Xenopus tropicalis: one gene and its partner. The protein of the gene in region 1 interacts with the protein of each later gene in a pairwise test. Links are inferred from orthologs where the notes say so. Each region holds a gene or a part of one and is shown in the gene's direction. Other genes may lie near its edges. The genes, in order: fip1l1 and cpsf4.

What was found.
Region 2: the proteins of fip1l1 (region 1) and cpsf4 interact in binary tests that used the Homo sapiens proteins (3 or more experiments, as listed by UniProt). The two-hybrid records come from large-scale screens. The link is inferred for Xenopus tropicalis from reciprocal best matches to the Homo sapiens genes FIP1L1 and CPSF4.

Annotation. Positions count from the first base shown.
Region 1 is NC_030677.2:39,670,417-39,678,762, forward strand, and holds part of fip1l1 (pre-mRNA 3'-end-processing factor FIP1), read left to right. Parts: intron 1-1,280; coding exon 1,281-1,390; intron 1,391-1,874; coding exon 1,875-1,971; intron 1,972-3,270; coding exon 3,271-3,430; intron 3,431-8,266; coding exon 8,267-8,305; intron 8,306-8,346.
Region 2 is NC_030685.2:47,252,771-47,261,116, reverse strand, and holds the end of cpsf4 (cleavage and polyadenylation specificity factor subunit 4), read left to right. Parts: intron 1-657; coding exon 658-708; intron 709-2,500; coding exon 2,501-2,653; intron 2,654-3,103; coding exon 3,104-3,199; intron 3,200-3,258; coding exon of another isoform or gene 3,259-3,288; coding exon 3,289-3,382; intron 3,383-4,054; coding exon 4,055-4,127; intron 4,128-4,211; coding exon 4,212-4,382; intron 4,383-6,617; coding exon 6,618-6,686; 3' UTR 6,687-7,032; downstream 7,033-8,346. UniProt on the Homo sapiens protein: Component of the cleavage and polyadenylation specificity factor (CPSF) complex that play a key role in pre-mRNA 3'-end formation, recognizing the AAUAAA signal sequence and interacting with poly(A) polymerase and other factors to bring about cleavage and poly(A) addition.

The DNA of each region.
Region 1 (8,346 bases):
TAGGCAGGGCACCAATGTACTAGGGGGGCACTGCTCTTGGCACCAATGTACTAGGGGGGCTCTGCTGCTGGGCACCAATGTACTAGGGGGGCACTGCTCTTGGCACCAATGTACTAGGGGGGCACTGCTGCTGGGCACCAATGTACTAGGGGGGCACTGCTGCTGGGCACAGAGTTAAATTTTTTAACATTTTCTAATGGTGGTGTGCCTCGTGATTTTTTTCATGAAACAAGTGTGCCTTTGCCCAAAAAAGGTTGAAAAACACTGCATTAGTATATTAATGGGGATAGCAAGGGTCAAGTTTCTGTCTAACCCTAAAACAAAAGGTGCAAAAAAGCTTTATTAACTTTTTATAAACAAGTAAAACATTGATTAAACAAAAAATTGTAATGTATACAATCTTGTATATAAAAAAAGTTTTTACCTTGCCATAACATATCTGTGCATCTATACAGAACTATCAAGATGCTTGACGGCATTGCCCCCCCACCTTTAGCTGTGTCATTTCAGTTTTCAGCAGCCATCTTGGTAATCAGCAAGAACCACATGTGCACTGGAACCCAAACTTGGATATTGGGGTTCTGTAAATTCAAGGTTTACTGGCCCAACAGGGCACTGGGGAAAAACTGTTGGGCCCCTTTTCATCTGACATGTTGGTGGGTGGGCCAGATTTTTGTTGACCAGTAATCAGTGTGTGGGGGGGCAGGGGGAGTAGAGAAGTAGTGCAGGGGGTGGGCCCTTGATTCACTTCTTCCCATGAAGAAGATATTTAGCCCCTTAAATCTTGTAACAAATGGAGTTACACAAACATTTCAAAACAAACACACAGCCCAGCTTGTCCTGAAAAACTTTAAGGAAATGCCTCTCGACTGAAATGTCTGGCAAATGAAATGCAAAATGTAGATGTGGGACTGGGTTTGATAGCACTGACGGATTTATTAAGAGTTAAAGACAAATTCATAATAAATATCACTAAAATATCATCTAAAAAACAAAATCTGAAAACTATCTGTTTAAAAGATAAATTCACAAAGGTAGAGATAGAGGTTTGTGAATAAGGCTGAAAACAAATCAATCTCCACTTTTATTTTGCGTCAATATCACCGCTTTTGTGAACTACCCCCTTTTTGTTTAACAGTTACTGATAAATTATGTTGGGTTCTTCTTGAAAATGCATAATAGGGAAAAGTTGGATTTTGTTAAAGTGCACAGATTAAGCAGAATTGGGAGCACAAATCTAGGGTGAGTTTGCAACTGCTTAGGCCTTGATTTATTCACAGGTACAGCAGGGAAGAACGGGCAATGCAGAAAAGGATACAGTCTTGCAGAGTGTGAAACCAGAGTTTACTTCTCCCACTTCATTATTCAAACCTGGTGTTCCTCCTCCAAGGTGAATATGATTCATTTATAGAGTGCAAATGCATTGTAGCAAAACTTGAAGATTGTGCGGATGAGAACTTTATAGATTTTGTGTGGAAATTATTTATTGACTAAAGGCTCTCTAACTAGCTAATAATCATAACATAGTGGTTTTAATTTTTGATTAGTAAGGGCTTGTTACAAAACTTCAGTTTTATTTTGATAAATTCTAATAGTCATTGGGCAAAAACTAGGAGGACTTGGCCCATAGTCATAAATGCCAACATTGCAAATTTTATGATGTTTTTTTCTGCCCACAGACCAAATGCCCAGATTTATTCAAATGGACTTTTTTCATCAATTGATTAAATTAACACATTGCAACTTTTATGGCCTTGAGTAGCTTGTAGATGACTCTCCCTTAGTGTGGTTGGATTAATTAATGAGAGATACTGTTAAGCAATGACAATTTATCACATCTGACTTCTGGATGTCCTTTATTAATTGTTTTACAGTCGAAAAACCTCAAGCGCAATTGATGTGATTGGTCAGACAACCACTATCACTCGTGTAGAGGGACGGCGGCGAGGTGCAAATGAAAGCAATATCCAGGTACAGTAAATTCCTAATTAACCAGTGACAGACCTGTTTTGTCTTTTCAAAACTGCCTTCATTGGGGGGAAAAGTACTTGCTAACAACTTGATACATATAAAGTATTAATATAAATAAAGACTACTTAGCCTGCGACAAATCTCCCTGTTAGCGGGCGACTAATCTCCCTGAAATGCCATCCCACCGCCGCGCATGCCATCCCACCGATGATTTACATTTTCGCTGGTGGGATGGCATTTTGGGGAGATTTGTCGCGGGCGACTAATCTCCCCGTGTGCCAAAACCCTTAAATGCTACAAATTTTCTGTTGCTGGAGACTGTAGACCATTGATCACGTGATGGTAGTAATAGTTTTCCCAACCAAAAAGGAAAGCGTTAACTTTATTCATGGGCTGGAGGAACCTCCATTATGGTGAAGGTCTGTGGGAGTAGAATAGAAATGATTCGTCATAAAATGCTATGATACATTCTGCTTTGAGTAAGCAGCCCAGCAGTATTTGCAGATTTTGATAAGAGTTGAACTGAAGAAGCTGCTCGGATGAGTAGTGAAACGTCTTCAATGATTACCAAACAAGTCCAGTTGCTTTAAATTTATTTGTACTAGATATACCATGACCTGGATGAATGAAAATCTTCATAAACATAAGAGTACCCAGTTAGTGACCTGATTGGAAGAAGGGTTGAATAGTTGGGGGGACATGGAAACAGAATATGCATCCATATATTGCATATATATGTTTGTAGAAGATGGTATAATGACTATAACTCTTCCATAAGTCTATGACTGAAATAGGTCTTATGTGTTTTTAGGACATCTAAAGGTTCAGTTTGGTTGATATGAGGGTCAGAAAACAGAGATATGGGAGGCTTGACTGTGGGTGCTACATAATTGCTTACTTGATACCCTGGAACTGTGCTCCTGCTAGTTGAAAACACTGGCCTGAGGTACCTTTTGGGCAATGGGTGCAGCTTCAAACTTCTTTGCATGGGGTTTGCATGTGTAGTAGAGTGAAAAGCTTGAAGTATTTGCAAAAATCCAGCTTTTTCACTTACTGCACATGCGCAGACCCAGGTCCACTGCGGAAAGTAGGAAATAGAATATTTGCAATATGGTGCACAAATAAAAGTACCACAGGTCAGTGCAGTTTTCAGCAAACAGGAGCACCAGTACAGGGTAAGTGGTTATATTCACAGTGACTTTAGCTTCTCTTTTGCTTTGATAAACATAAGATAGTACATTTTAAGTTTGCTGGATGTCTCAAATATCCTCAAGTTATTTCTGCCTTTTATGGTTTCAGGTAGTTTCAGAACAGTCTCCTTCTGAAGTGGATAATAATTTTATCAAGCCACCCCCACCATTTTTCCCTCCTGGAGCACCCCCCACACACCTACCACCACCTCCACTTTTTCCTCCACCACCAAATGTCAGTACTGCTCCACCTCTCATCCCACCTCCTGGTAAGTATCAGCAAAATTCTTGTTTCACCTTCAGTTTTCAATGCTTTTTATTTTATGTTGGAACAAATTGCCAGAATCAAGGAGTTTAACGTGCACTTTCTAGAATATCTGGTGCTTAGTGTGTTTCAAGTAAGAGTGCAGTGTGTTTTACCTTTTATGCAGGAAGCACTAGGTACTGAATATACTGGCCCAAATTGAGTGGGACAGTATGCACCCAGAGAAAAGAATTGCTAGAACAAGAGGTCATACCCTAAACTTTACACTTGGGAAACTGAGGAGTAGTGTAAAATAGTATGGAGCTATAAAAAAAAGTGCAGCAGTTTCCTGTGCCAAACCTGCATTACACGTACTCACAGCTGAACAAGTTGTAAAACTGAACAAGCATTACAGGAACAGAAAAAACATGAAACTAAAGTGTATATGTTTGCATTAAAAAATAATGTGCTGTTACCCCTGCACTGGTTAACAAAATACTTCATTGCTTCAGAAACTCTACTACAGTTTATATTAATAAGATGCTTTGTAACCATGGGGCAGGCATTCAAGCTGAACAGGGCAAAAAGGGTCATGTTTAAATAGCAGGTGACATAAGCTGTATAGAATAAAATGGGTTTAGTTCATACACAGGAAGATAACCTCTTTTAAGTAGCATTCATGACTGTAGACTGAAAACCATTCCATAAAATAGAGTATTTGTTGCCAAGAAATAATTCATATATATGCTGGATATAATATATATGCTGAAAGAAGAGTTAAAAACCTTAAATACAGAGAAGCTTTAAGATGCAGATACAGTAAACAGTGGCTATCTTGTCAAAACAGAAGTCATTAGTCTCACTCTGTTCTATGTTTTATCTGTAATATTTCTTCCTGTACTTATCATACAGCAATGTAAAACTGCTGTTTATTGTATTGATACAACCAGACACACAGCTAATCCCTAGCCAAGGAAAATATACACACATCTGGACCCTTTCTTCCCCCTCCCTTTTTTGTTTCTTGTTCCATTCATATCTTTCCTTCAGCACGTGTTTAGGATTTATACACTTGCATGTTCTTTGGCCAGTACCAAACTACGTTTTAGGGCAATGGCGGTAAAATAATATCCCAAAAATGCCTTGCCATTGCATAACATTAGGATTGCCACAAGTAAAACAAATCACTCATGTCACAATCCAGCTTAATTGCTGGAAAATGTGTCAGAAGTCAATTTCCCTTGAGTAAGCTGGACCACTGTGAGTAATATGTTTTACTTGCATAGATTTTAATATTATGCAATGGCAAGGCATTTTTTAGATTTGTTGCCCTTAGTAGCGCAGATTTGCTGCATTGGTTTGAATGAGACAATAAAACATGACTAGGCTCGGGTCTGAATACAAAGGTAATGAATAAAAAGTATCAATAAAATGTTTGTCTCACAGAGCAATAATTGTATGGCTGCTTTGGTCAGTGACCCCCCTTTGAATTATTTTCCTCCCATTGCCTGCTGCTTTCCATTTTATAACATCAGCTAAATAAAAATTCTGACAATAGGGCCTTTTTAGCAGGTTGTGTCAGGTTGGCCCATACAACACTCAGGTGGGTTTAATCTGGCGCAACATGTTTCTATAGGCATTGCTATACCCATAGCCCACCCAAAGCCCTATCTCTTGCTGCAACCTTTCCTCCTACATCCTCCTGTTGGCATTCTTTTATACACTCATGCTCTTTCTGGCCCACCCCCTTCAGCGACATCTGAGATGGGCTGGTCAGACGCTGGTATATAATTGATGATGCAGGTCGTACAAGTTAGGTCTGGGGGGGTTAGGGTGTGCTACACATCACTACCGCTTGCTAAGCTCGGAGGCTTTGCGAGGGGATTAGGAAATGAACAGTGCTGAACCTGACAGTTTCCTTTAAATCTTGTAAGTCCCTATTGTCACAGTACTTATTTTGCAATAGGGACTTGTTGATGACAACATCCACTTTAAGGCAGTACTGTGTGCCTAGCATGAGGCATGTGAATACCTTCTGTTTTCAAAAAGCTGTTATGACAATGTCCAGTGACTGGTGTTAGTTTTTAAACCCAGATGTAGTTCTTTGTGGGTATTGCACTGGGAGTGATATGCATCCTTAGGCTTGTTTGAAACACCAACTGTATTTGATGATGACCAGGGAATGTGAATAATTCACCTTCATTTAAAGATAAATATATCTCAACAGATATCAAAATTGCCTGGATGTTGGAAGAAAATTGTTTTTAATATGCCTTATATTTTGTGTAATTAAGCAGATAAACTGCTTATGCTGCCTCTGTGCATTAACTCTTAATTTATGTCCTAATGGGGATGATATCTGTGATTTAGCTGGAAATGATAAAGCAGTAGTTCTCCTGACTTTTTCTTTGTAAGTTTGGAACTAATGACACAAATATGAAGGATGGAGACCAGTACATTATCTAGAAAGAACTTTGCACCCCTTCTTGTTAGGCTAGCAGGTTTCTGGCGATCTTTCTCCCCATAAATCAGTGCTCGCTGTACATCTGCAGCAAACCATGCAAGGCTGTGGCTTTGGCTCCCAATGGTCCTTGTTTTATTTGCACTCTAGCCAACTCTTTATCTTCAAAGCTGCTACAAAAATAGCATTGTGCCATACCTCCTCATTTAACATAGGGGAGAAAAGGCCCAGTTGTTACCTCACATTAACTAGGAGACATGGCCAAAAATCCAGAATTGCAAATATAAAACATCCTGTGGAAGTTCTTTTGAAAACAGAAGATGCTTTGAAGTTGCCTTTTTAGGCTTCAGTCTTCCTTGTGAAGCTCATTTGCAAGAAAAAACTGAACTTGCATTATATCAGGAAAGTGCCCTGTAGAGTCCGGTTAACACCTTGGCTGCTGAATGGGGAGTGCAACAGAAAGCTGCTCTGTGATTGGCTATCCAATAACTTTGTTTTTATGGAGTTCTGTGTCATTTCAAGAATTCATTTTCGTTTTTGTACAGAGCAATATGTTCAGTTTATTTTCATTGTTTCAAATGGATTAGAGGTAACATATTTTAGATACAGGCCTACAAAGGCCTGTTGAACGAGAACAGCATCTACGTGCCGACTCAGTTCTTGTTCAATGGGATTTCAAGTCAAATCATGCTGATATGATATAGCCAGATATTGGTTGGACGTGCCCATCAGACAGCTATATACAATGGCCAATAAGCAGTTGACTTGCTCCAGAGAAACAGAGTCAGGCCATGTATGGCCACCATAAGTGGTCATACATAAATGATCTATAAATGTAATTTGCTTATGTGACATCATAGGAGTCCACCTTTTCTCATGGAGCCTCTACAACGTAGGGTAATGCAACTCATATTTTCTACATGATTTTTATGGCATATAACCATGTTAAAACACGTGGCATCTATATGGTATTGCTACCACTAAAATTACCTTTTTAATGTTAAGTTACTATGCTTTACTTTCATAGTAGAAAGACAGTTTGCGGCATAGTCAAGAGATTGTCCTTACATAATAGAAACTTAAACTCTTTTCCTACCACTGGTACACACTCACTCTAGAGGCAATTTACTGGAAGCCTGTGAACCACTCTCCCTGTTTTTAGAACATGGCAAAAAATCGGAGGGAAGAGGGAGGACCAGGTGAACACCGAATATACTCCCTACAGTGTGTGGTGGAAACAGAAATAGTTATGGTGGCAATGCTAAATACTTTCACCCAGTGCCTCCCCATTTTTCAGTTTCCATTTATTTGTCTAGTACAGTGATCCCCAAACAGTGACTCTTGAGCAACATGCTGCTCACCTCCCCGTTTGATATGGCCCCCAGTCCCCTCAAAGTAGGTGCCCATTTTTAATTTTCTGGCTTGGAGGCAAGTTTTGGACAAAGTTTTACTCCTAGCAGAGCCTCCTTCAGGCTAGCAGTCCACATTGGGCTACCAAATAGCCAATCACAGCCCTTATTTAGCACCCCCAAAGAACTTTTTTCAGGCTTAGGTGGCTCACCAACACTTTTTAAATATGTGTGGCTCGCAAGTAAAAAAATGTTTTTGGGATTTCTGGTCTAGTAGGATGCTTATGCTCTTCTTGCATTGATTTTCCTGGTTTTGCTAAAGGTGCTTCTGACTGCTGTTAGCCATTGATAAGATTCCATATCTTACCAGCTGGTTGCAAGCAACCTTCTTTATTTCCTTCCATAACCTTCCTTTAGTGTTACATTTTCAAAAGCGACCAGCTGATAAAATATGAGAATATCTTATGTTCTGGCATAACAGCAGCAGAGACAACACCCACGGTTTCAGAATAGGTATCGCAAAACTTTATTTTTTTTTAAAATTTCTATCCATGTAGGAAATTGATGGTAGTCACGGAGCTCTTATGGGGTTATGCAATAAAAGGCACTAAATATGCCCAGGAGCAGTAACCTTTAACAACCTATCAGCAGGTAGTATTTACTGGTCACATGTTTAAAAGCAAATATCTTATTGGTTGCTATGGGCTACTGCTACTGGGCAAATATAGTGCCTTTTATTACATATGGGGGTTAGCTACTAAATTAGTTGTTGGTGCTGTAATTGCTAGCAAGTACCTGTATATTTAAGTTACACTTTAGTTTAAATGAAAGCACATTAAGAAATTTCAGATACCACTGTGTACATTCATTTACACTCATTTACACAAGTAGAACATTCAGATTTTATTGCATTGAAGTGAAGATCAAACTTCATGGAATCTTATATACAAAAAAGCCAATAGTGACCTATACAAATTATAAACCCATGATGCTAGTCACTGTAACCCCATTTGAAACTGAAAATCTGTGTGTGCTTTCCTTTTTCTCCTAGGATCAATATCGTTCTCGATGCAAAAACCATCTCGATACGGTAAATGTTTATTGCACATTTTGTGTGTTTTCAGTATATTT
Region 2 (8,346 bases), on another chromosome or scaffold:
GGTAGGAGGGCTCCCACGGATTACTAAATCTAAGATCGGCGGTCAGGAACCTTACAAACGCGATGGCCCGATATCTAAGACTTTTGTGATATTGGTCATCTCGTCAATCCACCATACATTGGTGCGTGTATGGCCAGCTTAAGACAATGGGCATGTCATCTTTTTTTTTGTGGTCTTTGAATTATTGTGGTGCCAGGGTCAGCAACAACCAGCAGCCCAACAGAAAATTTATTTTGTTGTTAGTTTTTTATATTTATTGCTTATTCTATGGAGAGTAGTAGACCTAAACCTCAGAAATAAAAAAAGAAAACCAAGTGTATGTAAGGACAATGGCACATTTTAATAGCAGAGCATTTGAATTTCTTAAAGCATGTCTGTAAAACGCATAAAATGCAGCAGCACCATTACCCTAATGTGAATATTTGATTTTATTGCAGTAGTAGTGGTAACAGTTTTTTTTAATTTTATTTTAAAATATAGTAATACCCCTGTAAATTTACAGATTTGTAATGACAATAAATAGGTATATGCAGTCTGTATTCATGTTATAGTTACTGGTTAACAAGACAAATTTCTATAAACACATATTGGTAGTAATGAGGCTAAGGGCTTATTTATTTTGCACTCTTTTTTAATAACTAAAAATGTCTTTTGCAGAGTCTGGGGCTGCTGTTTGTGAGTTTTTTCTGAAATCGGCCTGTGGAAAAGGTAAATCACTGGAAATGAACATAACTCCATAGTATTTATGCTGTAAATCGAGACATGGGTGTGATTTACTAACATAGGGGAGAAATTACATTTGTGTCATCACCCATAGCAACCAATCAAAATTATTTGCGGATTTATTGCTGTTGGCAGCTTAATGCTTAGGGCCTCTCCATGGGGAGACTAGTCGCCTGCTACCACGGCAACTAATCTACCAGAAATACTTAGCAAGTATTAGAGAGACTTAGCAATGTTTATGCCTTCCCACTGGCAATAACGTGAATAGCCAGTGGGAAGGCATACGCATCACTAAGTCCCCCGAAAGTTTCCTCACAAAGGAAACTTTGGATGACTTAGCGATGTGTATGTGCGGAAAGGCATTTTGGGGAGATTAGTCCCCTGCGGCAGCAGAGTTTTACCACGGGTGACTAATCACCACAGGACATCAGTCTTATATTTGAAAAATACAAAAAGTCGACCCACACATCACTACTGTGCTGCTGTTTTACTAGTATTTCCAAACGCTCTTTCCGAACTTCTTAATTGCACATGCACAAAATAGTGAAGATTTTTACTGTACTGTGCAAGTTCAGCTAAGCATAAGGGGAGCCTTTTAACATACTAGCAAGACTTTGCAATGCAGTGTTAGATAGCTTCTGAGACCCATGCATTGTTTACAAACAGGAGCACCGGGCTGAGGAAGAGAGTTAGAAATGTAAAGGAGAATGAAAACCTACTGACAATCCTAGGACCCCTCAACAACAGAGATAGGTGCCATTATAGGACTGCTCTTTTATTTGTTTATACAATTTGTTAAAGAGCCCCAAACAACACAGAAATCTGTAATATACCTATCATTGTAATCTGTTCCTTCAAAAACCATGAATAAATACAATTTTTATGTGCTGAAATCTATCCGCAAAATAGTTCTTCTCTTTCTGCATCATTTGAAATCCTTGCAGGAGGGACTAAAACATTGATTATACAAATTCTCCACAGCTTACAGACATCAAGCAGGAACTACATAACCCACAATTCATTGCACTATAATGTTTCTTTCCTTATTGACATGATGTCTGCAAGGAATTTTGGGATTTGGAGGATGCAGGCTGAGGCAGTAGACTACTGTTATATTTTATTTGAATCTCAAAGTAGTGATCCAGATAAGGAGGAGAACAGGGGCTAGGCTTAGAACAGTTTAAAACCATATTATTACATTAAAAATCATGAAAAGGCTGCATATCTTTTAATTGATTTATATTGCAAAATTGCTTACACTTTTTGAAAAGTACATCATTTAAGTTGTGTTTGGGTGGAGTTCCCCTTTAAATTATTGTCCACAGACACTTAGCATGAAGTACAGCACAGGGGTGTATTTATTAACATTGGAGATAAACATCACTGGTGATGTTGCCCATACCAAGCTGATCTTTGCTTTTGCTTTCTAACTTGTAGGTGTTTGTCTCCAGTGATAATAAATAATCCCCCAAAATGTTGTTCTTTTGGATGCCCTACAATAGATTGCAAAATATATGCTATTATAAAGAATTAAAGAAATATAATATACAAAATCACTTTATCTCTCTTTATTTCTTTTATATTAGGGATGCACCATTTCCAGAGTTCGATCCTTGGACAAATAAAAGCATTATTTTAAATTGCAAATTAGGGTCCCAGTTTTTGTGGGTATTCTGCCAGTTTTTGAAAATTATGGATTCGGTGCATCACCAATGTACATAGGTAGAGAGAGAATAATATATTTCACTTTTTTAAACTATCTGTCTTATCTGTGCAGGCGGAATGTGTCCGTTTAGACATATCAGTGGGGAGAAGACAGTGGTCTGTAAACATTGGTTACGAGGCCTTTGCAAGAAGGGAGACCAGTGTGAATTTTTGCACGAGTATGATATGACTAAAATGCCAGAGTGCTACTTCTACTCCAAGTTTGGTAAGTGATTGTATTATTTAATAGGTTTTATTGGCATTAAAGTCTATTTTTAAAGGTTATACCTGTGGTGGTCAGTACCTCACTCTTTTTTATATTAAAAAGTTAATGTTTAATTTATTTCTTTTTGTTCTTTTTTCTTCCATAACCAGTGGTGCATGTATTGGCTTATATTATTAACCCTTTACACAAAGCTACTGGGCAGTGTGGTGTATGTTAGGGGATATGGCCAGCACAATCCAGAAAATCTGAACGATTCTTAACAAGACCCCTTTCTAAATTTTTTTTAAGGATTAGTGCACCCACTTTTTCATAAATTCAATGATCAGAGCTTGTGCTAAATATATATATTTGAAGTAAGAATTATGAATGCTTTTTGATTGTTTTCAACCAGATAGCTAGTTTGATAATTACAGCATATTAGTTGAATTATTTTTTGTTTGTATTTGTTAGGTGAGTGCAGTAACAAAGAGTGCCCATTTTTGCATATTGACCCGGAATCAAAGATAAAAGACTGCCCATGGTATGACAGGGGCTTCTGTAAGCACGGTAAGATTATAGGACCTTATAAAATCTTTGCCATTTTATATTGTACAAAGGAATGTCAGTGGCCCTTAATTTATATTATGTCTTTTCAGGGCCCCTCTGTAGGCACCGGCATACTCGAAGAGTAATTTGTGTCAATTACTTGGTGGGATTCTGTATCGAAGGCCCTAACTGTAAATTCATGCAGTGAGTACATTTATTTTCCATCTTCTTCACATGTACTCATTTAGTGACTTTCCAGACATGTGGTATTCATACCTGCTGAATTTGTGTTCTTCCCAAATAACATTTTATAGATTATATTTAGAAAATGTTTGTGTCAAATAGTGAAGGGTAGGGAATTAACAGAATTTGCACAGGTCTGTGCACTCCAAAACAAAGCACAGATATCTGTGTCTGCCCCATAAAATACATTGCTGCCTGTGGTCAGCAGTTCTGTATTTGTGAGGGAGGGACTGGGATAAGAGCTTTTTATGATATCCCCTAGAAAAAAAAAAAGCTCAAATGATTTATAGATAAACTTTTAGTATTGCCTTACTATGTTGTGTTTCCATAGGAGTAAACTGTCAGCAATCTAACTCCACTGCTTTTTTGTATTTGGCCCCAAAACTTTGTATAGGAAAAATGGGGACATACCAGAAGTGTTAGTGTCCCTTTAATGGACAAAGTTATATATGATGAAGACAACCATAGATTTGCTAGTGTTGCCTGAACACTAGCAAGTGATTGTTAAAGCTTATTAATGAGTGTCTTCATTATAATACCCCTTTAAAAAGAGATTATGCTGGAAATATTATCAAACTTTTATGGGGGTTATGAGGGAATTAGACTTACTGTTTTCTTAATATAATTCTGCAGTCCACGTTTTGAATTACCTATGGGAACCACAGAACAGCCGCCTCTACCCCAGCAAACACAGACTCAACAGAAGGTATTTGTCTATTTACACTTTGCAAACTTACACTATGCAAAATTATGGTTTAAGAGTTCTTACAGGTTTATTTTTTATCTCCAGCAAAATAATAACCAGGTGTTACAAAGGTCATCCTCACTCATTCAGCTAACAAGCCAAAACTCTCCTGTCAGCCAACAACGTTCCCCACAGACAATCGGTGTCATGCAGTCACAAAGTGGCAACCAGGGGAACCGGGGACCTAGGCCACTGGACCAAGTTACCTGCTATAAGGTCAGAATTTATCTAATGTATGATCTTTATCTATGATCTTTAAAATAATAGAATTGTTTTTTTTAAAGAATCATTCTGCCTTTCAAAGCATTTGCTCTGTTGAAAAGTTCACCATTGAAAGCTTCTGAAATCTAAGCCCAGATAAATGATTTGTGTTAACACAGGGGGTAAGCCTGAGATATGCAGGGGCATTGCACTTGCTTTTTTTTTTAAAGCACAGCTCTAATCACTGATGCAGTGATCACATGACTAGTGATAAGTGAATCTGTCCCGTTTCGCAGAAAAAATTGCGAATTTTTGAAAAGATTCACAAAAGAGAGGAAATTCTTTGAATTTTCTTGTGGGAAAGTGGGCATCCAACCATTTTAGAGGCTGTTATACATTAATTGAATGTCTATAACTTCGGCAAAGAGAACTAACCCCTAAAAACAAATATGAGCAGAAATGTCATACTTGCATCTATAATTAGCACATAAAAATATATAGCTAAGAAGTAAAATGCACATAAATTTAAAAAATTCAATTGGAGCAGTAGCTAAAACAGTGGCAGGTACTATATTTATAGATGGTTGTACTAACAGGGCAAGAAGGGAAACTACTAATATAAAGAAAAGAGCACCTCAAATAATATGCATTTATACAAATACATAAAAATATTAAAATCAGTACAATAAAACCTTCAAGAGACTAAATCTGATACATTGTCTAGGTAAAGACCATTTATCTGAATTGCCAGACAGTCACATATGAGATATAATAGTGTATGTGACTTTCCAGATTCTATACCTGTAGTGAAATACTACAGGTATAGAATCTATTATCAGCAATGCTTGGGACCTGGGGTTTTCTGATAAGGGATCTTTCTGTAATTTGAATTACCTTACCTTAAAGGACAAGGCAACGCAAAATGTAATTTTTTGCCTAATAAAACAAACCAAAATTCTAAGCACCTTTGCAATATACATTTATTACATGTTTGTAATGGTTTTTGAGTTATTTGTATTTATAATTGCTATTAGAAGCAGTGTTTGCCTGTCCTTTTCTATTCTCTGCTCTGGTGGCTCTGACTGTTGAAACATTGTAACACAAGCCAGCAGACTGACAGACCTGACTTGCTGGAGAAGCAAGACCTTTGCAACATTGTTTAAACTGTAACAACCAGAAGTTCAGCAAATGCAGCTTTCAATAGCAATTATATTTACAAATAACATTTTTAAAGCGCTACAAATTTTTAATTATTTCATATTGGAAAGTTGCTTAGAATTATTATGGTTTCTTTCATTATGCAAAAAATTATTTTTGGGGTTGACATGCCCTTTAAGCCTTCTAAAAATCATGTAAACATTAAATAAACATAGTAGGTTTGTTTAGCCAATAATATTGGCTAAACAATAATAATAATAATAATAATAATATTGGCTTAGTTGCCATCCTGTAATTCAGGATATTGGATTTTAGGATAAGGGGTCCCATACCTGTAGAACATACACATTTGCTGTCCAAAGAAATAATTGCTGATAATTTGTACATAAACGGGACCTGTTATCCAGAATTCTTGTGACCAGATAAGGGGTCTTTCTGTAATTTGGATCTCCACACCTTAAATCTACTAAAAATGTATTTAAACATTAAATAAACCCAATAGGATTATTTTGCCACCAATATGAATTAATTATATCTTCGTTAAGATCAAGTACAAGGTACTGTTTTATAATTACAGAGAATTAGATTTAAATGGAGTCTATGAGAGATGGCCTTCCTGTAATTTGTAGCTTTCTGGATAAAGGGTTTCCGGATAACTAATCCCATACCTATACTTGTTGATCCCCAACCTTTTTTACCCGTGAGCCACATTCAAATGTAAAAAGAGTTGGGGAGCAACACAAGCATAAGACATGTTCCTGGGATTCCAAATAAAAATTGTTATTGGATGTTTGGTAGCCCCTATATGAACTGGAAGCCTACAGGGTGTTCTGTTTGTCAGTACATCTGTTTTTATGCAACTAAAACTTGCCTCCAAGCCAATAATTCAAAAATAAGCACCTGCTTTAAAGCCACTGGGAGCAACATCCAAGGGGTTTCGGAGCAACATGTTGCTCAGGAGCCACTGGTTGGGGATAACTGGGTTACACCCTAAGAAAAAAATTGGTACAAAGCTCAGAGTGCCACTGCACTTAATCTATATTCAAGTAGTTAATTTTGGTATTAAATGTTTCTTTTTCTTTCTTATTGCAGTGTGGTGAGAAAGGACATTATGCCAACAGATGTACAAAAGGTCACTTGGCTTTCTTGAGTGGGCAGTGACAAGTGGTTTGGGGTATGGACATAATTCTTGTAAGGACGCAGTGGACAGACGTTTCCTTTTTAATTTTGACATCAAGATGCTGGAGACTTTTCCTTGTTCTTAAGTAAATATTGGGATATTTTCTGCTATTTACTCTGAGCAGTTTATTGGAATCTTCTCCTGCCAAGAACTGTTTGGCAAAGTGAAAGTTTTTGCCAGTAACTATTTTTTTAAATAAAAAAATGTAAATGTATTTTTATTTCTTTTTATTTCTTTAATATAACTTTTGTACAGATTAGATCAAATGCCAACAGTTCTCTTGAACTTAACATTGTTAATAAAATCTATTTTAGTGATGACTGGAAACTGATTACTGTATCTTAATAGACTTCTAATGAACTAACCAGTGTTACCTATTATTTTAGAAAAAAATGGGTCAAGTTTGATTGAAAACAAAATAGTCATATGAAAAAGTTTGGGAACCCCTCTCAGTCTGCATAATAATTTACGCCACTTTCAACAAAAACGGTAACAGTGGCATGTCTTCATTTCCCAGGAACATCTGAGTACTGGGATGCTTTCTGAACAAAGATTTTTAGTGAAGCAGTATTAAGTTGTATGAAGTTAAATCAAATGTGAAAAACTGGCTGTGCAAAAATTTGGTACCCTTGTAATTTTGCTAATCAAAGGCTATAGGAGGTGTGTAGAGGCTGTTACATTTGCAAAAGGAGGCTCAACTAAGTATTGATGTAATATCTTTGTTAGGGTACCCAAATTTATGCACCTGTCTAATTTTGTTAAGATGCATATTTTCTGTTAATCCAATAAACTTAATGTCACTGCTGAAATACTACTGTTTTCATAAGGCATGTTATATATTAAAAGGAAGTTGCTACTTTAAAAGCTCAGCCAATGATAAACAAAACTCCAAAGAGAAAGAGAGGTTCCCAAACTTTTTCATAAGACTGTACCTTTATTACCCCATTATGTTAGCAGACATGCTCCTTCTGACTCCATATATACACTACATTCTATGGATAATAGGCTCAGAGTGCCACAGAATGTAGATTCGATGTTCTCCAGCACTTCTTGGTGTAAATATGAGCCACTCCTTTATTCCTTTGCCCCAAGCAAAAAGTGGAAGGGAACAGGGCAAAGTAACTAAGGGGCTCCTAGCTAGTAGCAGACACATGGAAACAATATGCCAGCACTGGACTGGAAATCTGTAGGTTCTGGTAGCAGCCATTGGGGCTGCTGCAAGGTGCCATAGACAACCACTGGGCCTGTGCAGTTCTGTTTGGGCATCTCTGTACAGTGCCAGGGCCTTTTTGAATCTCAGTCCAGACCTGTCTCCAGGGTTGAAGCCAGTGCGGTGCTCACCATTATTGCAGCTGTCAATTGACTATGGCCACACTCACCACATGCTTACATAAATACCAGTGGAGACAGATTGTGTTGACCACTACAGCTATCAGTGGAAACCAGCAGACAAAAGGTCTGTTGTCATTGCTCTGACTGCCCTATTGCACAAGGAACACAACATTTAATAACATTAGGTGAGATGAAAAGCAGACAGGCACTTTCTGCTTGCACATCATTGTTTTCCTCTGTCAGAGGTACAAATTGCCCTGTGTGCAACTGGTCTAAAGGTGGCCACACACGTTGCACGAAAGATCATTC